Linked DNA regions of Arabidopsis thaliana. The protein of the gene in region 1 interacts with the protein of each later gene in a pairwise test. Each region holds a gene or a part of one and is shown in the gene's direction. Other genes may lie near its edges. The genes, in order: CW7, PFA-DSP2, PP2-B14 and AT3G09980.

What was found.
Region 2: the proteins of CW7 (region 1) and PFA-DSP2 interact in a two-hybrid assay, tested with the Arabidopsis thaliana proteins (one large-scale study listed by BioGRID).
Region 3: the proteins of CW7 (region 1) and PP2-B14 interact in a two-hybrid assay, tested with the Arabidopsis thaliana proteins (one large-scale study listed by BioGRID).
Region 4: the proteins of CW7 (region 1) and AT3G09980 interact in a two-hybrid assay, tested with the Arabidopsis thaliana proteins (one large-scale study listed by BioGRID).

The regions. Positions count from the first base shown.
Region 1 is NC_003070.9:21,858,496-21,868,123, forward strand, and holds CW7 (CW7), read left to right. Parts: upstream 1-2,786; 5' UTR 2,787-3,093; coding exon 3,094-3,125; intron 3,126-3,340; coding exon 3,341-3,530; intron 3,531-3,628; coding exon 3,629-3,703; intron 3,704-4,079; coding exon 4,080-4,186; intron 4,187-4,520; coding exon 4,521-4,581; intron 4,582-4,896; coding exon 4,897-4,956; coding exon of another isoform or gene 4,957-4,960; intron 4,961-5,035; coding exon 5,036-5,110; intron 5,111-5,650; coding exon 5,651-5,785; intron 5,786-6,126; coding exon 6,127-6,181; intron 6,182-6,753; coding exon 6,754-6,876; coding exon of another isoform or gene 6,877-6,923; exon of another isoform or gene 6,924-7,167; coding exon 7,168-7,445; 3' UTR 7,446-7,494; coding exon of another isoform or gene 7,495-7,521; 3' UTR 7,522-7,715; downstream 7,716-9,628. Other genes in the region: CF9 (Carbohydrate-binding protein), read left to right, coding at 1,273-2,418.
Region 2 is NC_003071.7:13,985,280-13,992,876, forward strand, and holds PFA-DSP2 (Phosphotyrosine protein phosphatases superfamily protein), read left to right. Parts: upstream 1-2,389; 5' UTR 2,390-2,696; coding exon 2,697-2,986; intron 2,987-3,120; coding exon 3,121-3,220; intron 3,221-3,393; coding exon 3,394-3,489; intron 3,490-4,952; coding exon 4,953-5,010; intron 5,011-5,109; coding exon 5,110-5,153; intron 5,154-5,255; coding exon 5,256-5,441; 3' UTR 5,442-5,715; downstream 5,716-7,597. Other genes in the region: AT2G32970 (G1/S-specific cyclin-E protein), read right to left, coding at 6,465-6,500, 6,588-6,696, 6,788-6,861, 6,955-7,193, 7,282-7,597.
Region 3 is NC_003070.9:21,058,754-21,064,960, reverse strand, and holds PP2-B14 (phloem protein 2-B14), read left to right. Parts: upstream 1-1,913; 5' UTR 1,914-2,116; coding exon 2,117-2,368; intron 2,369-2,462; coding exon 2,463-2,581; intron 2,582-2,737; coding exon 2,738-3,215; 3' UTR 3,216-3,439; downstream 3,440-6,207. Other genes in the region: MDO1 (telomere-capping, CST complex subunit), read left to right, coding at 192-314. UniProt on the Arabidopsis thaliana protein: Component of SCF(VBF) E3 ubiquitin ligase complexes, which mediate the ubiquitination and subsequent proteasomal degradation of target proteins such as VIP1 and Agrobacterium virE2, after their implication in T-DNA translocation to the host nucleus (can functionally replace Agrobacterium VirF).
Region 4 is NC_003074.8:3,066,196-3,072,908, forward strand, and holds AT3G09980 (ankyrin repeat 30A-like protein (DUF662)), read left to right. Parts: upstream 1-2,894; 5' UTR 2,895-3,162; coding exon 3,163-3,432; intron 3,433-4,057; coding exon 4,058-4,168; intron 4,169-4,264; coding exon 4,265-4,345; intron 4,346-4,875; coding exon 4,876-4,950; 3' UTR 4,951-5,336; downstream 5,337-6,713. Other genes in the region: AT3G09990 (Nucleoside transporter family protein), read right to left, coding at 6,467-6,574, 6,660-6,713.

The DNA.
Region 1 (9,628 bases):
AGAGGATACATTCCACGACCTAGAAGGACGAGATCCACAATGGAACACTCGGGAACCTTAGGAAAGTACTTACAAGGAAGAACTTTTTTTTTTTTTTTGTCAAACACAAGGAAAAACCCTAACTTGAGTTTAACGGAAGAATAATATCTTTGTATTTGCGTGCTTGTGTTCTTGGAATCAAAAAAGAAAAATATTTTGCATCCGTGTTGTTTCATTTTTTATTCCTCTGGTTATCTAAGATGTTAAATTTAATCCGTACAATTTGGCGTCGTCTGTGTGGAACGCTACACAAAAGTTCCCTCAGAATCTACCACTAAGCTAAGACTAAGGCCAATCAAATACGAGAGAAAGATGAAAAGACAACTGTCGATCGACAATGGTAACGCTGCCAACCTTCCCAGATTAATAATTCTTAATGTGGAACTAGAAAAAAATACAACACCTAAACAAAATAAACTAAAACCGGCGGACAAAATGAAAGTTTCATAAAATTTGTCGTAGAAAGATGAGTTTTTTCTGGAATCTAAACTATATGGAAGGGAAACTAAAGACGGTATAAATACAAAGCAAAAGTTATCAAACCAAGATCAAAGGAGGCTGAAACCTTTAACTAAGAAAAAAGCAAACATGTTTAAACCCTAAGAAAAACCATAGACCAAAAAAGCAAATAAACTTCTTCTTCTATTGCACATGTGATGAGATTTACCAAGAATGTCCACTACCAACCCAAAAATAACATCAATCACCTCCTTTCGCAATAAGAGTCGATTTCTCTAAACAAGAATAAATAACTTCATAACCCAGCAAGCAAAACCACTAAAAAAACGTCAAACACACATATGACATACTCATTCGTGTACATTTTTTCTTTTCTTATGAAGATATGTCAAACAGAAATTATTTTACAGCAATGAAGATATGTCATTTCAGGTAACTGATATGGTAATACGGAAAAATATCCTAGTAATATTTGGTCAGCAAAATTGGTTTTGCCATAACCGGAAAGATTCCAAAACAATCGTCACTTTAAAATCAAACCAACCGAACATCGAAAAGATTCGTCTGTTGTTGTCTTCTTCTTCTTCAACTTGTTCTTTGTTTCTCTTTCGCCTCTTGAGTTCCTCACTTCTTGGTTCTACCTTCATTCATGTCTCTATCCAAATCTATCTGGTAACTCAAAATCATCACTTCTTCTACTCAACAATTTCACAATCCCATCCCCAATTTTACAATCCCTAGATCTCCCTCCCTCTTCAATTCGCTGTAGTTTTCATGGACCTTGTTCGATTGAGAGACATAGGTTCAATTTCACCTCAGAGAAGAAGGAAATGGCTGATTCTATTAGCGGTTTTCGGTGTTTCGGGTTACGGAGTTTACAGGGTTTACAATTCTCAATACATCGCTAAGAAGACGAAGCGTCTTATGAAACTCTTCTCAGGCATTGTTTCATTCGCCGAAATGGTCATCGATTCCGCGGAGACGATAAGTATCGTTTCTCGAGATTTGAAAGAGTTTCTCGAATCAAATTCCCACGAAATCCCTAATAGCTTGAAACAGCTATCGAAAATCACCAAATCAAAAGAGTTCACTGATTCTCTAGCTAGGGTTTCTGAAGCTGTAGCGATTGGTGTTTTCCGTGGGTATAATTCCGATCCAAACGTCGAAAAAGAATCGAATTTGAGTGTAGTTGATAGAGTTTTCTCAGAGGAAGGAGCTGGTTTTGTTTCTGTTGTTGTTGGTAGTTTTGCTAAGAATCTTGTTCTTGGATTTTACTCTGGTGAGATTGAGATTGGTAGTGATGATTCTTTAAAACCTAGATGGATGAATTTGCTTAGTGATGATAAGTGTAGAGAGCTTTTAGCAGATTGTATTGAGAGATTCACTAGCTCAGCTGTATCGGTGTATATCGATAAAACGGTTGGTGTTAATACTTATGATCAGATATTCGCTGGTTTGACGAATCCGAAACATCGAGATAGTGCTCGAGATGTTCTTGTTTCGGTTTGTAATGGAGCTCTTGAGACGTTCATGAGAACTTCTCATGATGTCTTCACATCTTCAGGAGAGAAAACCGATTCCTCCTTGAGGAAGTCGGAGAATCGAGAAAACGGATGGGCAGAGGCGCTTTCGACTACTTTAGCAGTGCCGAGTAATAGGAAGTTCATGTTTGATGTTACGGGAAGAGTGACGCTAGAGACGATGAGATCAATTCTTGAGTTTGTAATCTTGAAAACGTCACAAAGTTTTAAGAGGAGTTTGGATGTGATTCATGAAGAAGTTACAGAGAGAGGACGTCAAGTAGTTGGATACGTTGGTGCCAAATCTTCAGTGATAATCACTGTTTGTCTTGCGGTTTACTTTCACATCTTTAACCGCTTTGTTCGAGGCCCTCCGGTTTGTTTAAGCCAGCAATTCTAGTTAATCGGATCGATCTATTAGCTTGTTAGAGTTGTTAGGGACATTAGATCTTCAGCCTTCCATATTCTTATTGGTAAGTTGGAGCTGAATAGCGTAGTAGAGTCTTAGCAGTGTTATGTACCCACATATTCATTATTGTTTATTTATAGAGGATTCTTGAGATAATCTCTGCATCTATGCTACCATTTCCAGTCAAACCATATAATGTATTCGAATGGATGTTGCCGGCGGAGCGGACTAGGCAACTCTATTTCTTGGGGCGGATTTATCCGCATCAAATTTATCTTTATGTAAGAGCCGTATGTAGTAAAATATTTTTAATTTTTTCGGGCATATTAAGACGGACTATAATTCATGAATGGTAAATAAAAAATAATCTACTCCACAAACGGATTTATCCGCTAACAACCATGAAAGAGAAAAAAGATTTAATTGTCACTGTAGCAAATCGGCAGTTATTGAGGTTTCCCCGCTCCGATTGACGCAACACGCCAAGATTTTGCCAACGCTAAAGCAAATCAGATCGAAGATTTGTGCTCTCTTCTATCTCTCACTCGCATCGAATTCAGCAAAAATTAAAATTGAAGAACGAGTCAAAGATAGAGAGAGAAAAACCCTATTCGATCACGAGATCGTAATCAACGTTTTTAGCAGAATCATCGGAGGGTAGAAAAAATGCTCAACGATGGCGAAGTAACTCCTTCTAGGTAAACAAGTCAGATTCTTTTGTTGTTCTATGTTTGATCTCGTGCTTAGTTCCAGTCACTGCTCAAATTGAAATGAGATAGTTTTCTATTTGATGAATTTTGTTATTCCACCATGAAATTGCTTAATTCGAATACTAAGATTTCGTAGTAATTCAGCATTTATTTGATTCGATCTTGCTTAAATTGATTTTGTTGTCTGCTTCATGTTTTTTCAGACATGAGATTCTGAGTATGGTGAAGAAGCACTCAAAGTCATTAGGAAAGACGTCTCTTGATGAGCAAGATGCGTCTGATGTAGAAATGGACTCTAATTTCTGGCATGGTGTGTTTGATGTGTACTTTGTTCGTTGCATGGAGTCGAGGAGGCGACAAGACGATGATCTTCTGTTTTTTGTCAGGAAATTGGTATGTAAAGCTTGGACCTTTTTCTCTCAGTCGAAAACTTAGAACTTTGTTATCATCCTTCTTGTTAATGTTGTTGAGTGTTTTGTTGCTTTTGCCAGAGCTGTAAGTCATATGGTTTGACTGAAAATGAGGATGCACCAGCTCCTTACTTTGTACGCAGGTGGGCACCTAAGGTAAAAAACTGTACGAAATAATACAGATACCTAGTTAGATCTCACTACATGAGGTTTGGTTTTGACATGTAACATTTCAACTGCGATGTAAAAATTGTATATTAACAAGGTCTTAGATTGCAACTCCCCTGAAGGTGATGGAAATATTAATTTTACTTCTTTTCGGGTGAGGGATTAAAGTAAGCTAGAGTACTACGTGCTTATTGTAAAGGATTGTCTTTTCTGGCCTACATGCTAAAGCTTTTCACGATCCATCATATCTTATTTAGACCATGGGACAGAGACACTTCGAGTAACCATTTATTTGTTGTGTTGCACCTTGTATGTATTGTCTACAAACATATGATAATGCATTTCTTTCTTACTTGTAAAGCAGTTAGATGAGCTGCTTGGTGAAAGTCTGGCTGAAGTTGATTGGAGGAAATCATTTTATTTGAACATGATTGCCCACACATCGTTCACTGTTACTGTTGCGATTTGCAGGTAACCGTTTCAGTCAGATTGTGATTAGCGGCATCCTGTACTAATTTCATGTTGTCTAATTTACAGCAGTTGTCAATTCTTGTTCTGTTATTGCTAATATTACTATCCTTCTTTCCTGTTTGGGGTTCAAACTCATCTTATTGCATCAATCATTACTTCAGTCTAGCTATTTATTAGGTTGGAATCTCAGATACCATCTTCTTAGTTTCAGTGATTAGGCCTTGAGTCATTTTTATGACATGTTCTCTGGTCTATATACTACTTATCATATGACTTTTTGTCTTTCCATTTGACTGCATCATGGTAACTTTGTTTGAACTACTTGTGTTTTTAGTAATGAGGCCCTTAAGACGTACCAAGGAAGTAAAGACACAAAACTATCTCCTATATACAAGGTTAGAGATCCTAAGAGTTTTGGATAATATTACTCTTGACTTTTCAACTCTTCTATAATCTTTTCATATGAAAAAGAAACTGAAGCCAAAGAGTAGTTATATACTCTGCTGTTCAAAATATATCAGTGCAGCTTTGTTCTAATCATCAACCTATTAAGAAAAGAGTAAGGAAACGGAATATGAATTCAGTTTTGTTTTCATAAGGAGAGGACTTTTCACATGAGTCTTGGACCAAGCATATGGATATTTCTTTGGTTTCATTTTCTGTAAGTCAATAGTAATCATGTTCTCTAATCTGACATTCATATTGTGCAGGTTGTAAAAACTGTATATGCATCACCTAGTCGTGTTAATTTTCATCTGGACTCAAAGAAGGCAAGTATAGTCGCTTTTCTCATACCAATGTTTGTCCTTTTGGAATTTGTGTTTGATGTTTCCATTGTTGTTTACCTAGGAAGTGGAAACAACACCTGCCTACCCAGAAATTTGTTTTGCCGTAGATGATTTTGACTCAACCTTTGATGCTGTGGTAACAAATTTTCTTCTCCCTTTTTGTTGTATTGTCCTTCCAACTGTTATATTATGTAGTCATTTCGTTCAAAGAAACTCTAAACATGAATGTCAAAGGAATTATGACATTTTGTTCATAATGAAATCGGCTCTGGAAGAATAGTTTTTAGTTGAGGAAATATGCATGAACTCCCCTTTGTCACTAGGGTGAAGTTACGTGCATTCTTAGTTTCTCCTTAACTGGATAGTAAAATCTTTTGTAGGATACGTTTGTTGGCTTTTGGTACAGGACTGGAGGATCCAGATAATATTATTTCAACTACCTCTTGCGGTGCTTTAACATCCTCTCCTTATTTGAGTTTAGTACCTGCTATTTATTATCTTCTTCAGAGGATTGGCCTGTCTTCTTCTTTAGTTTTGCTTAGGCGTAGAGGAGTTTGGCTTTATGATTCCTATAAATAACTTAAGTCGTATGGTTAGGTTTCATGCATGGAAGTTGTTATACTGACCATAGTTTTTTTCCAACCTTGTTCATTGGCTTTGTCATTGATGTTTTCAGGTTCTGACAGATAAAGATCATTGCTATTGCGTACTACTTAATTCTCACGATGGGGCAGCCTTTCCAAGTGCAACTGTTAAAGATTCGAGTGATTCTAATACGAATGCTGACCCTAGAACTGTGAAAGATCCTAAGGTCTAGTTTTTTCCCACCTATGCTTCACTATTTTCAGCAGTTGCTGCCAATCATCTATCAATTATTCATTTGCCACCTGCTATGAGTTTCAAATAGATTCCTTAATTTGTGGTTAATGCTTGAAAATATCTTGTAACCATGTCATACAGAGGAATATGTCGGTAGTTTCACTGATGCTTGCAACGGTCGATCTTAAACAAATTAACTAAAGTATTGTTTGTGATTTTTGTAAAGATGATTTAACTTCAAGCTCAATGGTTTTCAAAAGGCCTATGGACACATTACATGGTCGTGACTTTCTAATGAGAAAGAAATTGACATGCTGGTGCTTTTGGTTGCAGGTTACTCTGTTTTCTGGGTTTGTCAGCTATCAGATGGTTCGAGAAGCCTATGAAGGTCACTTTACAGTTTCTTTTCTATTTCTTATTCAGTTTTAGAACCTAGTTCAATTCTCCAGCAACTTTTGTAGTTATGGTTTACTTGCCTTAGTCTTCTAGTACTTAGCACTATCATTGTCGATCTCGGTCTTTCATATTTCTCCCAAAATATTTGATGGAAAGTATATATTAAGGGTCCATGATAGTACGGAACTTGGTCTCGAGCTTGACTCCACTATAGCACACAGAATTCATTAGTGGTTATTCATGTCAGGGAAACATGCAGTCTTAATATTCATGCCTTTACTCATTTACTCAAAAAGTAAAGTCGAAATTTTTGGAAGTAGTATGGTTCGTTTAGAGATCAAGGAGGTGTGAATATGAAACGGTACCCAACCTGACAACCTCAAGATGGCTGGACTACAAAATTAACTTTTGTAGACATGGAATTTTGAGATATTAAGAGCTAAAAGACCTAAAGGAACCTATTGCTTGTTTCCTTGTCTATATAGGCTGAGATCGCTTTCGTTGATTTGGGCTAATTAATATTTTCACGCTTTATGTTTTTTCATCTAATAACTTTTATTACAGGGGGGAGGAATCGGTTTGGAAGTCTCCTATCTCTCGGTCATATTACAGGAAAAGCAGACAGACTTTATATGAGAGGCCCAGGAGGACGTGGAGAAGTTGAAGTAGCTGTTTCTGGCGTTGTAGGTACTTTTCATTTCTTATGCTTGAATGGCTCTTTATTTTCCTGTTAGTGTTTTGTTTCCCTATTTTCTCGAGTGTTACAGTGCAGTTAGTAATATTCCATGGAAGATAAAAAAAAAAAAGTAAAAACATAGAGAATGCCCTAGCCAACAATTGTCTTAGGTCGGATTGTCTTAATAGCAGCAATATTTAAGAAGTACAATCGCCAAAATTTAAGAGTAGGAGACTTGTTGAAATGTATATTGAAGACGTAGTATGGTTTAAAGGATGATTGTATAGAATTGCTTTTCTCAGATCAGAGCCAAGTAGTTTTAGGGCCTGTTTCACCTATGTCTTCAAAGAAGAGCATCGATCTCGGATCCATTTTCCGTAAAGCAGCCTCTGTTGCATCTGTCGCAGCTAAACATGCAATAGCAGCTGCTACTGCCTCTTATGATGAAGACGAGATGTTCCCTCTTAAATGCTGCTTAATGTCCATTTCATTACCATGGGACACTATTGCTCATGATCTTTTATTCAAGGTAACAAATGATTTCTCTTTAGCCACACCGGTCGTCAACAATAGACACTAATAGATCTTTTCGATATTGCTGATCGATTCCACTAATCGTCTTTATTTAGGCAACTCCACCAGTCAACATGGAGTAGCACACTCTGGAATGAAGCGTAGGAAACAGAAGTTTGTGTGTTTTGTCTAAATGTTTTTTTTTTTTGTACTTTGATTGAATATTCCTTTTGTGATGTTACTCGACTATGTGGTTTACCACAACCACTGTTATTACCTCAAGGAATAAATGAAAGTAAAGTTGTGAATTTGCAATCATCAAGTCTATATGTTTTGGCTACTCTTCTTGTTTAGTATAATGTGGACTCGCTCAGCCTATACTTTGACAAACAGAATGAATTTCGGTTAGTTAATCAAGGTCCGGTTATTTATATAAAACTTAAGTTCGGTTCGGATCGATAAATCTTTGATTCAGTTTGGTTCGGTTTTTAGGTCGATCCCTATGAGATACAGATGTCTTGCATAGAAAGTATAGAAGATATGGTATTTAAACATGTGAAATAAAACAGCTTTTTGCCATCTTTTGTTGGACTTTACTTGAGAATGTGGAATGCTAAAGAATAAAAAGAAATTAGGGTAGACAAATAAGGAGGAAGCACATGAATCCAACTCTTGGTGGTAGACATTTCTTATTAGATGACAAAACTCTGTTTTAGGTTAAACTAAGGTGTATAGCTTTCTAAGAAAAGGAATTGTGTTAAAATATAGATCGGTTGTTAGACATTTCCTAATTAGATGACAAAACTCTGTATCTGAGGTTAAACTAATGCTTCTATTTTAATAACAAAAAGGAATTATGTTAATATATAGAGAGTCGGTTATAGAAGTTGTGAAAATGTGAATGCATGTTTTAGTCCACTTACAAAAAGCCACAAAAAGTCACAAACAGTGGACTTTGGATTTTCTTGAAACGTGATTACAAAGGTCAAAATATAAGAATAGTATGTTCTTTAACATCTTTTGCCCTGGAAATAATTGTAGGCAAAAAAAAAATGACCCATTATCTAAATTTTTAATTTAACAAAAAAATAAAGTAAAATAGGCAAGATTGGTTTTATACCCCAATGGAGAAATATTTCAATATGTCACAGTATTATAAATTTTAACGGATAAATTTTCTTTCAAAACATGTAAAGATTTACGAAAATACGTACGAATATATTTACCCTACTTAATTAAAAAAAAAATGATTCAAAATTATAATGATACTATAAAGAGAATGCAGCTGTAGTTTCACTTGTATTGTTTACTTTATCTTACTAAAAAGATAAGAAAATCCAAACACATAATAAATAAACTAAGACGTAATATGCTTTTTGTTAGATTCTTCGCCATTAAGCTAAGCTCTCATCTTCTTCCTCTTGTGTCAAGACCTACACACCATTTTCTCCCCTAAGTCTTAACTTAATAAGTTGTGTAGAAACTTAAAAAAAATCTTTTATGTATAGAGTTTTATCTGATATTTTTTTTGTCAATTACATGTACTTAATATGCGAGCTTGAATCTGGAATCGTTTCTAGCAGTAGAAGGATAAAGTGCGTGCCCTCTTTTTATCACATTGAAAAAAAAGTATATGAAAATGATGCATTTTATTGGTTTGAACTCTGAACCTACTGAGTATCTATACCAAGAAATCTTACACAAAATTGGTCTAATAACTAATATATATTTTGAGGCCCCAAATCAAAATTTTATGTGCTTGTGCCAAGGAAGGATCGGTCATGATAGATTGATAGTAACACAACGACAATACTAACAGAAACCAATAGGCTATAAATCCTATTCATTTTATTTTTTTTACAATATAGTTATATTTTACAAGTTTTTCAGATATTATTGACCCTCTAGTATTTTACCAATTATATAGTTTAAATGGTGACAACCTTAAACACCCAGTCCTTTATATTAATCAAAAAAACAAAAAAAAACAAAAAAAACAATAATCTTACAATGACAATGTGAAATTAATACACTATCTCTGTAGTTAAAAAGTAGTGCTACGAAAGTGATAAAAGTTAAAAAGCAGTATCCAAACAAAAGGTATAAAAGGATAAAAAAACAAAAGTTAAAATAATACAGTAATAATGTTATCTAGAGCACTAATCGACAAACATTCCAATTAATCTCTTAGATTGACTCTGATTATGACATTAATACTTAGCACTTTTTTAGTGGACAATATAACCCCAA
Region 2 (7,597 bases), on another chromosome or scaffold:
GAAAAAAGCCATAAATACAAACTTTCACTATAAATAGAAATAAATTCGTTATCGATTCACATGGGCGGAGACAAAGAATATATTTAGACACAGAATATATTTTATACGATATGATTTTTAGTCTGTTGTCCTTTAGGTTTGAAGAGAGGTGGGAATGATTGGATCGGCTTCTCATCTCCACTTCTTCCACAGTGTCCAACTTGAGAACCGAAAAATAATTGGAGAGATAGGAATCGTTTCTCATCAAATTCCCACTTACTTATGTTAAGCCACTTAAGTAGTGGAACAATAATTCAAAACTTATAATAATATTCTTTTACCCAAAACTCTTTTCATTTGACCAAATTAGTAATCGAGTTGGTAATTACTAGTTATGTATACATTCTGACATTCACTATCCAAGTTGTTTTCCAATAAGTAGAAAGTTTAAAGTATGCGTAGCTCGACATTAATTAATTAGCTTCTGTTAATTATATGATTAAGGACGGTTCATAAAATAGTATTTAAACTGCTTTTTACAAGTAGTTTGAGTTTTAGCAATCATGTGATGATTCAGATAAATTTATATATTTTAAATTTATATTGAAGCAATCGTTAAACGAAGTTGAAAATGCGTTAATAAAGTATCTGACATATGGTAAGTTTAATGGGTGTAAGAACAATATCCACTATCTACTAATAACATTACTCAAGTGTAACGACATGGTGTTAACAACATTACAACAAATTTTAAGCATGTATATAAGAATATACATGAACTCAATTTTCCTTGATTAAACTAGTCATGGAATCAAGTAAAGAGATCCAATATTGAAGTTTTAATTATCAACAAGACAAGGCAATATAAATTCTAATGATGGTATCAAATATGAGGTGGGATAATATTGAGAGAACGAGAGATAGACCGAGATCAACGGTACAAATGATTACCAAATAAGGATAATTGTTTTTTGACAATTATATCGATCAATCTTTGATTTTACCAATAAATAATGTTAGTTTTCAAAATATTCTTAGCAAGGAATGGTAAAATTAGCCATTAGTTCCCAAACATTTGTTTAGCTCAAGTGTCATTACAAAATTCATTTTTATTTGCTGAGTATTATATCGATGTTATTAGTTTCAGTTCTCGTTCAATTCTGTTTGTTGATAAAACCTTTTATGCTCGTTCAATTCTGTTTCGAAAGAGAAGTATGAACCTATTTTTAATATTGGTTGGAAGTTGGAACAGTCTATAGATCAAAACTCTAAAATTGCTTGGTACGGTTAAAAAAAAATATTCCCAAGATTTGTAAAAAAAAATAGTAACAATGAAACAAAATTAGGGTTTTACTGTACATTCTTAAGTCTTAATACGGAAGCTCTTTACGGTGTGGAGCCCAGCTCAGCTCGGGACCCAAAACCTTTCCTAATCTGAAGCATATTCCATAGAATGTACCTTTTCAATTTCTCCATTAGTTTATTTTAGTATTTTCTTTTCATAAAATCTCGTTACATTTTCAAAAAACAGTTATATAGACATAGACGGAAAAAAAAAAACTAAATTTTTTTTGTCGAACACTTTGCAGCATGTGTATTGGTTCGGAGCTCATGAGAGGCCCGTACAGGCATACAATCTTTTATATGTCTCTTGAGTCCTGACTCTTGTTTTTCACAATATATATTGATGGACTACTAAAAATAGTAGGAGAACATTAGTTGCTTAAATGGTTTGAGGAGTTATGTGAACAACTGAACATAACATTTTTGTTAATCATACATGAAGATAAGTCTTTTTTGAAAATATATCTCAATTAATATATAGAGAATTTGAGAAAGCGTTAGCGTTCCTAATTTCATATATGGAGTATAGCATAGTTTATAACACGGGACTGCTATAGAACATCTATAATAATCCCATTAAATTTTTAGCGATCGATTTACAAATTACAAATCTATAGTAATTGTTCGATCGGTTGATGGAATTACTACAACGAGAAACAACAATTTGATTTTGTTGACTAGTTAAATTCTAATATACATATATATATATATAAAATTATATACCAATATTAGCTTTTTGTCGGTATTTACCAACACAATTAACTATAACAATAGATATTGTAATAAATCACATATCATATAGATATATCTTATTAACACGATATGTAAGATAATTGCTCTAAAATAAAAACTTCTATAGTAGTTTATTTTTGTCACCAATTGAATATTTTTCCTTTTGGGGTGGAAAATATTTGTGGTATCTCAATAAGCTTCTTGTGTATCCCACCCCCCACCATGGCATTCCTACAATTTAATAAAGCCGTATTTTCACTTTCACTCTGAGTCATTTTTATTATATTGTCATTTTCGACAAAATCGAATTTAGATTGTGCATTATATATTCTGACGAAAACAAAGAAAGATTGTTGCATTAATTTAATTTAAAAAAGTTGATTGAAAACGCAAGTCTCGTTCATCTCCTCCAAATGTTCTTTTTCTTTTTTTATGTTCTTTCTCTTCTAAAAGTCCAACAGCGACAACATAGGTTTCTCTCTCTACCATGGCGTGTCTATATAAAGCAAGGTCGTCGATTCATAACGACCATCTCCATTACTTCTCCATAACCTTTCAAGAAACAAAAACAAGATAAGATCTCTTCAGATTCCTACACTCCAACAAATATAAGTTTCATTAGATTCTTTCTTAGCTAGAGAATGAAACTGATTGAGAAGACGATGAGCATGAACCAGTTTAGGACTATGGAGGAGGAGAAGCAAGACGGTGGTGAGCTTTTCCATACCATCGAGGTAGCTAAAGTTGACCGGAACAACGTGTCTCAGCCGCCGCCGGCTGCTACTGCAGCACTGCTAGAAGTTCCCGGTGATGAACTTAACCTAATTCCACCGTTGAACTTTTCGATGGTCGATAATGGTATATTCCGGTCTGGATTCCCGGACTCGGCGAACTTCTCCTTCATCAAGACTCTTGGCCTTCGCTCAATCATGTATAAAGCTACTATGATCAATTGACTCTTATATTGGAAACGTTGGACTTGTTGATTTAGGTTTTTGTGTGTGTTTTTTTTTCCTTCTGACATCAAGTTTTTGTGGTTTGTTTGTGTATGGGAAATGTGTGAAGATCTTTGTGTCCAGAGCCATATCCTGAGAACAACATGCAGTTCCTCAAATCCAATGGAATTAGTCTTTTTCAGTTTGGCATTGAAGGCTCTAAGTCCAAGGTGTGTGCCATTTTGCTAAATTTTTTTGGCCTCTGGTTTATAAAAATCCATTTCTCAATCACTGCCTTGTTCTCTGTAATTCTGATTTTGTGGTTTGAAGTTGTTGTCACAACTTTTTAGGAGGAATTATTAGAATTAAAAGTTCACATCTCTTGGATATCTTGAATTTGCAGTGTCTTCCCGGATTAGAGAACGAGGTTTGGTTGCATATTTGGAGTTCTAAGCATCAGAAAGAGGATTTTTATACAAATGGAAATTCAAAAACTTCGGTATTAATCTGAATACTATTTGGAGTTCTAGTTTTGAATTGCTTAATGTTGCCTAACTGTTCTTTAATTATGCATGTGTATCTCTAGTTTCATGTTTCCTTAGGAGTAGTAATTTGCTTATGCATGTTATGATATAGACTAGTTATCCATATTTTTTATATATGAACCGCCCAAGAAAAGTGTACACCATTCTTTAATGCTTTATTGAAGGATGCTTTTCTTGGCTCTGTCCGTTACCATTGACTCTATGGTCCCACTGTTTGTTTGCTTGCCCTTCCTCAACTAATAGACCACTTGGTCCTCTTACTGTGTATATATAATATTTTAGATAATGGGCTGCGTCAAAAATATTTCTTGCATACAAGTATTGTCAGTGATCCACTACTCAAAAGTTTTACTTTTCTTTGTGTGTATGTTGATACTGTTTTCTTGGTTCATATTAGTTCTGTGTGCACTTTGATGCATGAATGGTATATTATGTATCTTAACTTTTGGTGGTGAAAACTTTGTGGATAGTGACTTGTCGATGTATTAATGGTAAGAGTATTCACATATCAACTGGTAGGTATAGTACATAAATCAAGCTGGAATTAAGTGTGAAAGTGATAGATGGCTAAGTTTAATGTCAGTTACTGATGTGTAAATACCTACCTACCTATTGTTGCTTATGTTTTATTGGCCCTTGTTTGGATAAAATGACTTTTCGTTTCATGGAATAACCAAAAACTAGAGTCGTGAACTAGTTATCTTGATCTCCAAGTGTATAATCTGTAACTTTTTAGATATTAAAGTAGAGATAAGAAGCCAAGCAAACATATTTTACTTTTAGTTGAACAAGTTTGTACAACTTGTGATGGGGCGGCTAGTTTGATTTGATTTAGAACATCTTTATATTCGAAAGAGAAGACTGAAAGTAAATATAATTGTGCTGATTTGCTATTGTGGTAGTGATCATTCTCTCTCTCACACAAACTAAGCCTTGTGTTGTCAATTCTGTTTCATGTATATATGATATGTAGTTTGTTAATTTTTGATTTTAGACTAAACATGAAGTAAAGTGGCTTTTTTTCTTTTCTTATAATAGACTATAAGGGTATTGGATATTCCACATTCATATATTATTTATTGGCTAAGATTCTTTATGTTGGGTGTGACAACTCTCTAGTCTCTAGTCTTCATATGAAATCATTTTCATTATTGGCTGCTTTTGATGGACCCTCTTTGATCTTGTGTTTATTTTTTGTTGTGCTTAACTTTTAAAAATAGGAAGATAGAATATACTCCACAGGTCTTTTACAGTACTCTAGGGAACAGCCAAAACCAATCTAGTTTTCTGATCAATTTCGGTCTCTAAGAATGAATATAGCCGACACATCTCATCATAATTTGGATATATTTTTTGCTGGCTTGTGCGTTACTAAAGACTTACCAAGGCACTGATAGTGTGATCCTCATTTTTGCAGGAGCCATTTGTAGATATCCTAGATCAGAAAATCCGTGAAGCACTCAAAGTCCTTCTCGGTAAAAATCATAGAAGCCCTAAAACAAAGTTAAGAGAAAATCATATGTTTTGGTTATATATACAAGTCTTCTAATCCTGTCTTCTTTGTTAATCCTCAGATGAGAAGAACCATCCACTTTTGATTCATTGCAAACGAGGCAAGGTATATGTAAAATAGTAAATATCAAAAGCTATAAATCTCCTTAAATGATTTTCATTTTCTTTGTATTGACTCAACACAATGGTTTATATATGATCATTGCAGCACAGAACCGGGTGTCTTGTTGGGTGCATGAGGAAACTCCAGAAATGGTGCATAACATCGATACTCGATGAGTATAAGCGATTTGCAGCGGCTAAAGCTAGAGTTTCGGATCAAAGGTTCTTGGAGTCATTCGATGTATCAGGCTTGAAGCACACTCCAATGTCTTTTTCTTGCTCCAATAGGTAAAATAAAAACGAGACAATCAAAGAAGATTTGACCAATCCGTCATTCCCTTTTTTCCATAGTTGAATAACAAAATTAAAGGAGGAGAAAAATCATGAGTTACCTGAGGAATCATCAAATTCTTCTGGTTTTTGTTTTCTTTTTCTGAATCAAATAATAACAATAATAATTGGAAGAAGAAGAATATTGTATATCTTTTTCTTTTGATTCATTTGTAATCTAATAATGTATTAATTTATAAATTAACGCAACAAAATAAAACAACAGTTTAGTTTAATATGAAATTTATTCAACTGCAGGATTAGTATCCTCATCATGATAATAATGTGAAGCAATCACTATACTAAACTGAATAGTAAGACTAACTGGTTTGGTAAACCGATGACACATATACGACCAAACATCTCCTTGATGAGTCACATCCGAGTTAACTCGAGTCCACTCATTCTTCTCAACATTTCCGATAGGCCACTGGCCACATCAGGTTAACGTGAGTCACAATACCAGTCTGTTCAGCTTCTTCTGATCAATCCCGTGATAGTGAATAATTGATCAGAATTAAAAGGGTATTTTTTGGTGTTTAGAAGAAACATCAAAGTCGAGTAACGAGTTCTAATTTTGGTTACCAAATGTCATTGGCAAGTGAAACAAAATTTGGATGTCTATTGTATCAATTGTGCATTGGTGTGTTAATTGTTCACTGGGTTTCCTCATCAACCAACTCACATTGTTATCTAAAGTCGTTTCCATACATAAGTTATAATTACATTCTTTACAAAATCATAAAAATGTTCTCTCTTTTTTTTTGTTATTATATCGAAAACTTACCAATTCTGAAGAGGAAGACCCACTAGAAGATTTGCAAGAAGAGTGGTGAGTGTGTGTTTTCTTTCTTTCTTATATACATCATTTGGCTGAGTTGGGAGTTGGGACAATGTTTCGTGGTGTAAAACCTATCTATCTATACACTAACCTATCATATTCTCTGGCAAGAAAAAGTAATCAAAAGAATTTAAGTTTTGACTTCTATGCAAGGTGCAATTTCCTTCTCGTTTCGTCTCCCTGCGAAAAATGATCAAAAACCAGTATGAGAATCACAAATACACAATACTGATTCCCATAAGAGAAGAACATTGAGAGAAAACTTACTGTACGTTGATTGTTCTTAACAGACTTGCCATGTCTTGAGTCTATAGATTCTGGTCTCGTGGTTCGTCCATGTACTCTCTCCATAAACTCTTGTATGTGATTATATGTACTGCAAACAGAAACCAGATCAATCACAAAAAATATATGTCAGAAATGGTCATATAGAAAACTGTAAAACATGTGTAAGAAAACACTTATACCTAAGCCGATGTCTGTTACAGGCAGCAAAAAATGCTACAAAACCGTTCAATATGCTCCTGACAGCACGAAAAACCTGAAAATATGAAGCAAAACAAACACAATTAGTAATTACTGAAGTTGCAAGGATTCAGATTTTTTTCTCTTGTACTTGGCATTGTTTACTTACATGAGAAAAGAGATCGTTCCAAAGTGTACGCCACATGGAGACTTCATAAGTCTTCACAGCTGCTTGAGAATCTGATGCAAGCTGAAGTATACTGCTCATATACCTCCATAAATCTCCAATAACATCGAATATGTATGAGAAGGAAACAGCTAAACAATTGGCCAATGCAGCAACCACTCTGATCGGTGCATATACCACTTCCCATATGATCCAGAATAGAGGTAGTAAAACAGTATTTGCTGTAGCATCAAAAAGAAGAAAAATATCAGGATTATGATTATATAGAGATGAGAAAAGGAATGCTCAAGCAAACGTTTGATTACTTACTGACGTTCCAAACTAGCGAGATGGGCAAAAGCACCAACTCTACCACATCACCAACAAGATTGCAACCAGACTCCATCACTATCCAAACCACTGAAACCAAGCTTGCCACTGTTTCCGCCAACGAATTCCATAACGGTAGGAGCAATTCAAGAATGTCTAAGAGAGGATTTACCAGAGGCATTATGCAAAAAGAAACAAATGACTGCATAGCACGTGCCATAGTCAGAGCCCACTTGACAGCTTTCTGGAAGTTGTGAAGAAACAACATCGTTCCCAAGTACTTTATTCGGGATACCATGTCCCATGTTTCAACCCA
Region 3 (6,207 bases), 800 kb from region 1:
GATAGTAAACTTGTCCATATAAAATCGATTTCATTCTCTCTTCATGAAATCGGGCAAAGTTGTAAATGTTCAATGAGTATATGTTAGTAACCAACTAACCATTTCAAGATGAACTTAGTTTCAAACTCATAATAGTGTCTTTGATAGCTAATCAATCGGGTAATTGATGCATAGTATATCCATTTCTTTAGGCGATCTTGCAGGCTCGAACAGGAAGAAATGTGGACGGGATCGATATGAACCTCTACCGGAAAACAATCGAACTCCTAAGGCAGTTTCTAAAAGAAGAAGACAACAGCAATATGGTTGAGTGAGGCTAATTATCAGTTGCTATCCAAGTAACATAACCCACCCACATTTTCATATTTTGTTCCTTTATTACCTTGTCTTTCACTTGTAGATGAATCTTAGGATGGTGGATATGTTTTGGTCTGCTTTTTCATATGAGCAATTTTCTGAAACGAATTTGTTTGAAATTGGCTAACCTGAAGGAGTTCGGTTTGGTAAATCGGTTAAACCGGTTGGCTTTCCACGGTAAATAAGCTCAAGTAGTTCCGTTTTTTTTTATTTATAAAATTGCAAATACATACTTGAATATAGAGAAATCTTCTACTCTTTTCTCTTAAGTCAAGAAGACATTGTTTCGTATATATTTGTTGTATATTTAATTCATTATTGTACCATATATTTTTTGTACAAATGTTATAACAATCGAAACTACCGAATGATTTCTTACCACTAGATTCAGAACTAAATAATGAACTCCTAATATTAGTTTACTATGGTCCATGAGTTTTGGCGGCTATAGTAGAGATGTTGGAAAAGTCAACTAGTGGTTTTAAAGGTAAAGTCAATTAATATTGTAACAATGTTAATGATTAGCGACTTCTAGTCAATAAATAATTCTTAAAGAAAGAAACAGGATCTTTCAATGTCAAAGGACTCGATGTTTGGTGTCGAACCTAATCAACATCCAAAATTTGACCCAAATTTAGGCATTCAAAAATAAATAACACAAGTCACCAACCCTTTTGCCTCTTGGCCACTAAATGACTTTTTAGCTAAATAATACCAACCTTTTTGCCTCTTGGCCAATAGGACTCAATGTACTTGTTGTTGTTTCGCTTGTTCAGAGTTTTCCTTGCTCTTATAGTTTCTTCATTGCACATTTATAAAGAAAATTGCAGCAAATACCAGCGCCTAAGCAATTTTGAAAGCTTTACTCTCAAAGTTATATATCTAATGTGGTGATCTTTTTTACTGATTAAAGTATCACCACTCCATCCTCATACCATCCATTCAAGTCTTTAAAATTACTACACAAAATATACAAATTAAATCATAGTGGTCCTAGACTCCTAGTGGATGAGAATCAATATTCGTCGTATATCTAACGGTACATCGTCCTCAAAGGCTTAAGCATTAATTTAAAACAATTTGTTTGCTTTTGAACTGATTAAAAATTAAACGGAGATTCGAAATACTGAACCGAAAAAAAGATATTGCTTTCAAAGACAGACTTTTAAACCGAAAAAACAAAAATTAGTCACACTACTCATAAGTCTCTATACGTTTTCTGTATGTAAAAATAATAATCTATAAACGTGTTCTTATTTTCAAAGAATCTTTAAACATTTAATTAAACGAAAAATTTACCAAATTATCAACTTACAAATATTTTAGCAAAAAACAATATGTACGTTGATAATCTTGTTAATTTTTCGTTTAATAAATCGTTTAGAGACTTTTTGAAATATGAGTGAAGGACAACACTATTTGCTCTTCCGCGTTAACTTTCTCTTTTGGAAGGCCAATCTTTTACTTTTGGCCAACGACCAAACACTTTTACTTCGAAGCTAGCTATAAATAATATATAAATCCATAATATTTGACCATTGGTCTAAAATGGTCAACAGAAATATGCCCAAGCATCACTATATATTCTCACCATCTCTATCTCCAAGCATACTTCATCTATCATAGCTACAAAAAATCAAAGCATCATATTTACTCACAAAACGAAATTCTTCAAATTCTAAGAACTCAGTACCTTTCTGTTTCATAATACTAACAATTAAAGATATATTAAGTTTTTACTCGGCAAAAGAAGAAGAAGATGATGATGTTACCAGAAGCATGCATAGCCAACATCCTTGCCTTCACATCTCCGGCGGATGCATTCTCGTCGTCAGAGGTCTCTTCGGTTTTCCGGTTAGCCGGAGACTCTGATTTCGTATGGGAAAAGTTTCTACCATCGGATTACAAAAGCCTCATCTCTCAATCTACTGATCATCATTGGAATATTTCTTCCAAAAAAGAAATTTATCGATGTTTATGTGACTCTCTTCTCATCGATAATGCTCGAAAGGTTCGATTTCTATGAGTTAAATTTGAACAAAAAAATGGATATCTTTCTTATTTACTTGAACTAATAATATCTTCCGTGTATGATGCAATTTCAGCTGTTCAAGATCAATAAATTTTCCGGAAAAATTTCCTACGTTTTATCAGCAAGAGATATTTCCATAACACATAGTGACCATGCATCTTACTGGTCTTGGAGCAATGTCTCAGATTCTAGGTCAGTTGTTTTTCTTTCTTTTCTTAAAACATCTAAATATGCTTTGTGTACATTTACTGAAAATGTTTACAATTTTTAATTATTACCATGATTAACAATAGATATATATATATATATATATATATATATATATATATATATTTCTAAAAATTTCAGATTCTCGGAGTCAGCTGAACTTATAATAACCGATCGTTTAGAAATCGAGGGTAAAATCCAAACCAGAGTTTTATCAGCAAACACAAGATACGGAGCATATCTCATAGTGAAAGTAACAAAAGGCGCCTACGGACTTGACCTAGTTCCGGCAGAGACTTCGATTAAATCTAAAAACGGTCAAATTAGTAAGAGTGCAACTTATCTATGTTGCTTGGATGAGAAAAAACAACAAATGAAGCGGCTATTTTACGGGAACCGAGAAGAGCGAATGGCGATGACTGTGGAAGCGGTTGGCGGGGACGGGAAAAGGAGAGAGCCGAAATGTAGAGATGACGGATGGATGGAGATTGAGTTAGGAGAGTTTGAGACACGAGAAGGAGAAGATGATGAAGTCAATATGACTCTTACAGAGGTGAAAGGATATCAACTAAAAGGTGGCATTTTGATTGATGGTATTGAAGTGAGGCCTAAAACATAATCAAGATGACTACGGAAGCTATGGATTGTTAAATGAAATTGAGAGGAACTCAGGGGTTGTGTGAATGTGTTTTACTAAATTGGTTGCATTTGTTCATTTATTATCGTGTACGTTGAAAAGAGTAGAAGTTTTAGTTTTCAAGTTTCAATTATTTGGCTCGTTGAAAATAATGTACAATCTTAGTGGGTGTCACGAAACTGATTAACAATTTAAATTTTTTATTATTAACGTAATCTTCGGTTACATAATAATACAAGTTGGAGTTATATTTACGTAGAGAATTATGTAGTTATATATTAGATGCTCATGCCATTTGCCATTATTTGTCTGTTAGAGAAGATATGTCAGAGAAAAAGTGTGTTCATAATGTAAGTGAATACCCTCAAATTATTCCAAATTACAAGTTATGAAGGACATGTTCCAAATTTCTTAGTAAATCACCTGAAATAGTTTAGTGGTTTCTACATGTGGAGGAGTCAGCATCTAGGTATGAGTAAGGGATTGATTCTCCTCAACCGCGAAGTTTACTAAATCTCTCATTTGGCTAGTCGAAATGGTATTATACCTTAAACCCATTAGAAAATCAGGTTAGTGAACTACTCGACGGCTACATTTATCAAGTGGTTTAGTAGGATAGTAAAAGCCCAAATCAGCACTTAATTACTAAAAAAAAAAAAATAGATCATACATAACTTCTATATATATAAAAATTTCCTTGTTTTCTAAATCTATAATTTTTAAATAATTATTTTTGCTTTTATTGATTTATATTTTTCAATAAAACGTAAGGGATATTATAATGTTGTTTCATTTCTTTAATAGATAGCTAAAAATACATAAATTTGAGTGAAACTTTTTCTATAATATATGATAGAATTAATTAAAAAAAAAGTAATGTGTGAAAAATCTACAACAATTCTTTATGGAATAAATAGAGTATGCTATTTTACACGTGTGGGTTCATGAGAAAGTCAAGTAAATGATTAAGTGTTGCTTAGGATAAAATACAGTTACAAAAGTTGTGTACGGTCAAGGAGTCAAACTTCCAAAAGGAGGGGCTAGTTTATCCAATACGCGCCCACCGGTTGCTAATTCGTGGTCAAATGTCAATAGCATATGATTTGTCAACACTAGTTCAATTAACTGTAACCAAGAATATCTTCACTTTTTGGAAATAACCAAGAATACTATAGTATGTTAAATAGGGTATGGTGAAGCCAATATATGTATCTGGATTTCCGTCCAACAAGAAAGAAAATTCAATACTGTGAACTCAAATGTTACTAATATATATATTTATTATATATAGTTTCATTTCATAGGAGTTCGGCTCGAGCAAATCACACTATCTTCCATAGTAGAATTGATGATATGGATTTATCGATCTAAACGATATAAATAATATAATATTATAAATATATATGTGTATATATATATATTATATTGCATAATTAATATATTTTTGTTTATATTTGGAGTAAAATTATTGTGTGTGGTTCATCTTCATCTATCTTTTTCCGGTTTTTTAAATCTTAATATCTTCATATGAATCTTCTTGAAGTTTTTTAGTTCAATATAATTATATATTTGTAATAGTGATGGTTGATGATAGGGATTCTTTTTTTTTGGTAAGTTGATGATAGGGATTCTTAAAATATTCAATTCCACACCCTTAATTAGCCTTGCATTGTCTTTTGTATAAAATTTATCGAATGCGATTGAATGAGACTTTGGATATTAGAAATATATATATATATATATATATATATATATATATATATTTATTTCTTTAATTTTTATTTGAACCAATGGGAACAAAATTTATTAGCATGATGTAGAAAGTACTTCCATTTAGCTTTCAATCCAGCCAAACTTGAATCATCTTAGGAGGTTATCTGTCATTTTCACTCCAAGTAGTGTGATAAGGAAAAAAATTAATGATATAGAAATATCAAAAATTTGTAATTTAGTTAGCTATTCAAAAAAAAAAAAAAACAACAACTTGTAGTCTCTTATTCTTAGTTTAGTAAAAAGATTTCTTGTATCCAACTCTGGAACATATATCTAATAATTTTCTTTTGTCATAATCGCTAAATTTGGAATAGGGTCCTAATTTTTGTGGGCTCGAATATAGCTCTTATATTCTCTCTTCCGAAATGGACTTGAACTAAAGATATCCTTGTCAGTGTTCGTGTTTTCTAGCAACGAAATCAATGGACCAAAAACAAACTTGATAGTTTTGATAATGTTTTTGAAAATTTTGCTTAATCATCAATGGAGAGAACCCAATATGTTGTATGTATATTAACTGAGGACAGAAAATAATGCATATGAATATGTTGAAGTTAGTAATCTCAGAAAAGCTAGTTTTAATATGTTTACATGTTATACGATTATATTTGCAAGTGTTGTATTATATTAACTTCGGAAAGTGTTCTTTTTCTTGTAGTGCGAAGTTTTTGGTTAAATTGTTGGTAACAAGTTTTCGAAACATTTACGATGCAAAAGTTCGTTATTCAAATAGTATCAAACTATGAATCTATGATATATTCTTATGGTCAGTAGATGAGGATATAATAAATCAATTAAGTGTTTGGCATTCATGATTTGTTGACTACATATGATATATTCTTCATTTTATATAGATCACACTTTCTCTTTTTTGTAAGTAAAAACGAAAACTCAACAAACACACGAGGTATCTTTTGGTCTAATAAATAACATGTAAACACCTACGCGTTTAAACGTCCTTGTTTGCCTTCGGAAATAACAAAGAAAAGTCAAAACAATTTGTCAAATAGGGCAGATGACTGACTGTTCTGTAACTTTAAGGCAATCACCAATGTATGTCAGTTTCTTTCAACATGAAATGAATTTCTCATAAATGTTGATACTAAGACATTAAGAGTAATTAGCAAAATTGTCAAGAAAGGATTAGAAAAATAGCAATAAAAAAAATCAATAAATATAAGTCCTATTCATATTATGTAAT
Region 4 (6,713 bases), on another chromosome or scaffold:
ATCACTTCTTTCTCTGGCAATTATTTGTTTATGTCAAAACAGATCATCTTTTTGACATTAATAGAAAGTTTCGTTCATTTGGGTCATTCAAGTAATCAAGTGTACATTGATTCTTAGGAGTGGATTTTAATTTTCGGTAAAAAGGTTTATGTAGTAACTCAATGTATATGATAAATAGTTTAATGTCAACAGTCGAAATTCCAATCCTAGAAATACTCAACTTCGACAAAAAAAAAAATGGTAAGTGGCTAAGTGCACCAGTTCCCGGAAGTTAATCCAAAGAGTTAAATCATTATTTTTCGGCACCAAAAAATATGCGCAGTATAGTAGATCCATGATATAGAGTTGTTGACCAACATATAAAGGTTATTTTTAAACATAGTATTATATATTGGAAATATTCATCTGATCATCTCTATGATTAATTACCATCATCGTAATTAACGAAGAAACATAAACAAAGAAATGATATGTCTCATATGGACGAAGAAGAAAGATTGAAAGAATGGGAAGTATCTTTGCATTTTGGCAGTTACGCTAATCCAACTGACATCCCCAAAGATTCTGGCCCCTACGAAACCATTGTTGTCGCTGTATGTATATACATTTGATTCCTTACAATATTCTAAGTACATAAATGTTATGGTAATAAATTGATGGGTCCTTTTAGTCAAAAATAATAATATTGCTTGGGCAGACTCTTGTTTAATAGGGAGTGTATACATTTAAGGTTCGAATGATCGCAGAACAATGGGAAACGTTTTCAACTTTTTATTTCTGAAATTTTTTGCGTCATAAAGTACAAAGATTCCGTAATAATTACCATTAACTATAATATATTCGTAATAAAATTATCTGGCATGGACATTGGAGAGGGAGACATACATACGACATATCATTGATTTAATGGAAAATATGAGGTTTGATGAGAGACAGCAAATCATTTTTCATGAGACCATTAAATCCTAAGTAAGTGCTGATGCTGGCAATTAGGTATAAAGTCGATATCCTCTTCCTCAATCACGTTCATAATCATCACAATTAAGAGTTATATTATTAAGAGAATCAATAAAATTTTGTGCAAAATTTCTTAATAGAAAGTAAAGTTTAAACGGTGAAGCATGGAAGACGTATTCGATTGGTGGCAAACGCTTTCAACACACTATTCGATTTAAGTTTTGTTTCTTATTTGAACATTAAAAACTAACCATTTTGCGATCATTTAACTTACAAAAAATCTGGTTTAAGTTGTTAGATAAACACATCATCAGTTACACTTATTCCGTTGTAGATATTCAGAATGTTACATAATTTTAATATAATTTACTTAGAAAACAAGGACAAGTTGGGATCCATAAAAGAATAATTAAAGAAAAAGTATGGGCTCCAAATGATAATCTGGTGCACGCGATAACACAAACACCGGTTTAGTGGGTCCTTTGTGGCAGAGAAGCACACGTCGAGTAAGGAAGGATCACCCTCTTTCTATGTCTTTGATCGGCTCAATCCCCACCGTACATTCTAATCTCTACGATTTGGCTTTGCTTCGAACAAGTTTATTCCTTAAGGAAGTTAACGGACCTTAGCTCAGTTTGATCACAAATAAAAAAAATTCAGGTCGAGCTCAATCAACCAAACCGTATAATACTAACTCACACTTGAAATCTGTTTTTGATTATTAGACTACATACAAGACATTAGAGACTTGTAAAACAATATATTGGTTTTATGTCGATTAGTAGGTAATCTATCTTTCTAACCCTAGCTAATTAAAACAACAAAACCTTAGCTTGCCAAAGCTCATCCATTAATTGAAAAAAGATCTACTAAGTAAGTATAGTTTTGTATATACTAATTTGTGGGACAAACAAAATTTCAAAATGGCTAATGAGGACAAGATTTATACCCCACCATTAAAACAATGTGACTAGTTATACATCGAGTTGATATGATGGCTAGCTTAGAGGAATAATTTATAGTATACTACATTGAAATAAAAGTAAATTCCATTAAGAGAGAAAAGGAAAAAAAAAAAGTGAAGAAAAAAAAGAAATATTCTTGCTTCGAAGGCCCGTAGTTGAAGCCGTTGGCTGAGTGGGCTACTGCTCTTTACCTTCGTTTTTACGTTTCTCCTCTCTCTTTTTTCTATTGATAACTTTCTTTTATCGAAAGAGAATAACAAATTCATTAGCAAAACGCTTACTTGAGTACCTCTAAATTTACCAAAGTAAATTAAGTTTGACCACTTTTATCGGATACACGTCGAAAAACCTATAAGATTTACCTCTCTTATTATTATTTTTCTGTTGGATCACAATTAGTATAATACTTTAAAATTTATACTAGTAAAGAATATTGGGATATATATTCTCATAGTATATTTATTATTAGAAGATCATTTTATTATTCTCATTTTCTCAATTTTCTTCAATATAAGTTATATAACCGTGGACCATAGTTTCTTTCTTTGTCAACAATTATGTAATGTGGTTCTAATAAATGAAAAATAACTCAATAGTGTGTATGCTCAGCAATGGAATACCTAATTCAAGTCATTAAAGAGAGAGAAAAAAAAATCACGACGATTGGTAAATGTTAATGGACCAATGGAAAACCAGAATTAAATTACCGGTTAAGTTTGGTTCGGAATTGACGGTTTAGACGGGACAGCTGAGTTGTTAACGAGCTGTCACCGGATTCTACGGGTCACCCGTTTTGCTTCCTTCATCAGATAATAAAAAGATCCAACGGTTACAATAATCAGATTCTCTTCCCTTTATTCCTACTTTTTATTTTTGATTTTTTCTTTAAAACCCTCACTGTATCTTTTTATCGGTTGTTGGTGGCAGTTAGGTAATTTCACCTAATAACCTTTTTTTTTTTGCCTGTTATCTCTTTTTAATATACGTTTCAATATATTTTAATTATTATTAAAAAGTTCCCGTTATACGAATAAAATAGCATTTAATATATTTTTGTTTCTGGAAAATGTGTAATTATCTTTATATAAATGTTCATATCAGAGCACTATTTCTGGGTTTCAAAAAGAAAGCTCAGTTAGCTATTTTCTCTACCACAGAAGAATCTAGACCCAGAGAGAGAGAGAGAGAGAGAGAGAGAGATCAGTAACGAGAGAGTCAAAGAGAGGAGATTTCAGTGAAGATGAAGGAGATGCAGGCAATAGAGACGTCGCAGCCGACGACGGTGGCTCCGGCGGTGCATAGCCGACAATTGGGAGCTCAGTTGTCGGGAAGTATGAGTTTCAGCAGCCAAATGTCGAAGGAAGATGAGGAGATGTCTAGAACTGCGTTATCTGCGTTTAGAGCGAAAGAAGAAGAGATCGAGAAGAAGAAGATGGAGATTAGGGAAAGGGTTCAAGCTCAGCTTGGTCGTGTCGAAGAAGAGACTAAGCGTCTTGCTTTGATCCGTGAGGTATGTATCTATATTGGTTATTTCATATATAAAAAAAAGATTGTTTTTTTTTTGGAGAATTGTGCTTCAATTTTGGTTTTTGTTATGGAAATTTTTTGGATTGGGATGTGAAATTGAACATTTGGGGTTTTTATATTGTATAGAATGTGGATTTAATTCATGTTTAAGGGGAAATTGTAGGACCCAACTGTTGGAAATTTCAAGATCTGACAATTGCATTGAACAAATTCTTTTATAATTTTCCTTTGGTTTTTGTGTGGTTTATGCCATTTGGGGAGAAAATTTTGGGGCTTTTGTGTTTGTTTTAGGATTTTAAATGATCAATAGCAAGTAAACCTGGATTTGCTAAAAATAAGCTATTTGGATTAAGTTTTTTGTGAAAAGAACCATTTGCTTCTTCTGGGTGATGTTAAAGTTTATGAATCTGGTCTTAGTCTCTGGTTTTAGTACTTTTTCCCCTCAATTTATGGGCAGAACAGTGAAAGTTTCTACATTTATAGCACTACTTGATAGAGATTAGCTCTGTGGATCAAAGCTCTTTCCTTTCTATGAAAAGAACAATTTGCTTTTCCTGGGTGATGTTATGTTGATGACTAAGAAGCTCAGTGGTTAAACTGCATTTCAGGAACTTGAAGGATTAGCTGATCCCATGAGGAAAGAAGTTGCTATGGTTAGGAAGAAGATTGATTCTGTCAACAAAGAATTAAAGCCATTGGGCCATACAGTTCAGAAAAAGGTAAGGCTAAAACATAATCAAATCCATTGACCTGTGTTTAAAATATGTTTTGTTGAGGATTCAGATGCTAAGCTGGTTTATTTACGCAACTTGCAGGAACGAGAGTACAAAGAAGCTCTTGAAGCATTCAACGAAAAGAACAGGGAGAAGGTGCAGCTAATCACCAGGCTAATGGAGGTTAGTCAACAAATGCTCAAGTCTCTTTTCGTTGAGTTTGAATGATTGAGTTAACTGGTCTAGTTATTGTACTGCTTCTCTCTGATTTTTGGTTGTGTTGTCCTTTATTTTTTCACATTACCCTTGCTTGTGTGGATAAACACATTAAGCTAATTATTGTCTTGTAGCTCTGTTCTGAGAGACATGCATCAAACACCGATAGTTTTAGGCATATTTGTGATCTTGCGGATTCAGTGTTTAGTAGATTTTGATGTTGAGTTCTTGGACCGGTCTGTGTGTTTGCTTAAAGCTATGTGTGAGTCATCTCCATAGTTAGCGGAATCAGTTCCTTCAAACTCTATCTAAGTGTCTTCTTTTTGTATGAGTTACATCGATCGTTCTTGCCATTTTCTAACATAATTTGTCTGTAAACTGAACATATTCATCAAACCAGTCCACTCTGATCTGTGTCGAATATATTCATTTTGTTATGTGTTCTTAACTTGAATTGCGTTCTTGACTTAACGGTTTCCGATTCGAATGATTCGCAGTTGGTGGGAGAAAGCGAAAAGATGAGAATGAAGAAGCTGGAAGAGCTAAGCAAGAACATAGATTCTATACACTGACTTTGAATCCAAGACAGTACAAGAACTTCTTGGGCCAGAGATCATTCTCTGAGTGTTTTAACTCTACGTTTAGGTTTGGTGGTGGTGAATGTAATTTATATTTTATAATCGTCGTGTGTTATATTACTACTACAATTATTATCTTTGTTAGGGGTTCTTGGAGAATTTATAAGTGTAATGTGGTTTTTTTAGGAAGTAACTTCAAAAAATACTCATCAAGACAGGTTTGTAACTAAACGCTTCTTCTTCTTTTCTCTGAACTATCTTTCTCTCTTTATTGTCCTTTCAATTGATTTTTTACTTATCTCTCTTTAAAACTATTGTTCTGACATTTGTAGCATAATGTACAAAATGTTAGGTATTAAGAAAAGTGGAAATTTGTTTATATCATGTGCGCTGGGAAAGCTATAAAGATTAATAGAACATTGTGTAACTTGTGCGATCGATCGGTAGGTTAAGTTAAAAAAGATGGCATCACGAGATCAGATGTGATCTATATGTCGACCTTTTCCGAATTTGGTTTTATTCCAAAATGACCGTTAGAGAAAAATGATTGTTTCATGAGGAAGGAAATTCATAAAAATAATATCCAGAAGGCAAACCTTTATTTGTTTATCATTAAATATGTCCTCAACATTTTGACATGTAACCATTTATCTGATATTAATATCAAATATAAATCATATGATTAATGAGAAAATTATATAAACCATACTATAATTATAAACCAGACGTTTTGTTCATTATTTGATGGAGGGTGCAATAATAAGACATTAATGATCAAATAATCAATGATGATGTGGCTATTGCAATGGGAGACATAGATATCATCGTAAAAGAAACAAAAAAAATTCCTTTATTGTTTTGTGCAGCCTTTATTTTCATTTGATTAGCATCTCCTGATATAATGATTATTCATGTGGCATAAAATTCCAAATCCACTCCAAATATGTATCCCATGTTTTATGGTATTATATATTATTATTATTTGTTTTTTTAATTTTTTTGAGACTTGTAAACAAAATTTGATTATATATTTTAAAATCGCATGCTTAAATTAAAGACTCATGTTGCTTTGATGAGGTATGCAACATCACTCACTCTTTATCATCATCGTCCACCACATTTTTTCTAAGAATAATATAGTAGACTATATAGTATTAATACTACAATTTGTCTTAATAATATTTTTTGTAGTATTAATACTACAAGTTGAAAAATAATTTTTTTTTAATACTACTAGCTGTTTCTATTAAGAAAAACACTTTTGCTTCTCTCTTATGGAATGCGGAATAGACATATGTTAGCTCATGAAATATGTGAAATTTAAAAACGTTGATATAAGACGGAGTTGTACTAAAAAGATGACTTATCAAAAGATAATGTCAAGATGGACTTTATTGAAAGAGACAAATGTCTTACATGATTAAAATGAAAGGTGCATATTTTGGTCTCTACTTATCTTTCGAGATCTTTAGAAGTTACATTTATCTGGTCAAACAATAGGCAACACTACTTACCAATCTTTACCAACTAACCAAAGCCAATCACAAGCGACTCCTGCAAACATCCCTCCACAAATATATAACACCAACAAGTTTCCTAGTGCATTTTGCTCCGGTGCCTAAAACCAGTTTTCATCATTTCTAAACTAATATCGTCTTCACGAAAAAGTTAAAATAAATAAATAAAGGGAGAATTTGAAATACCAATAAATCATATGGGGCTGATGTTATGACACAAACAGTCAAATATCCATTGCT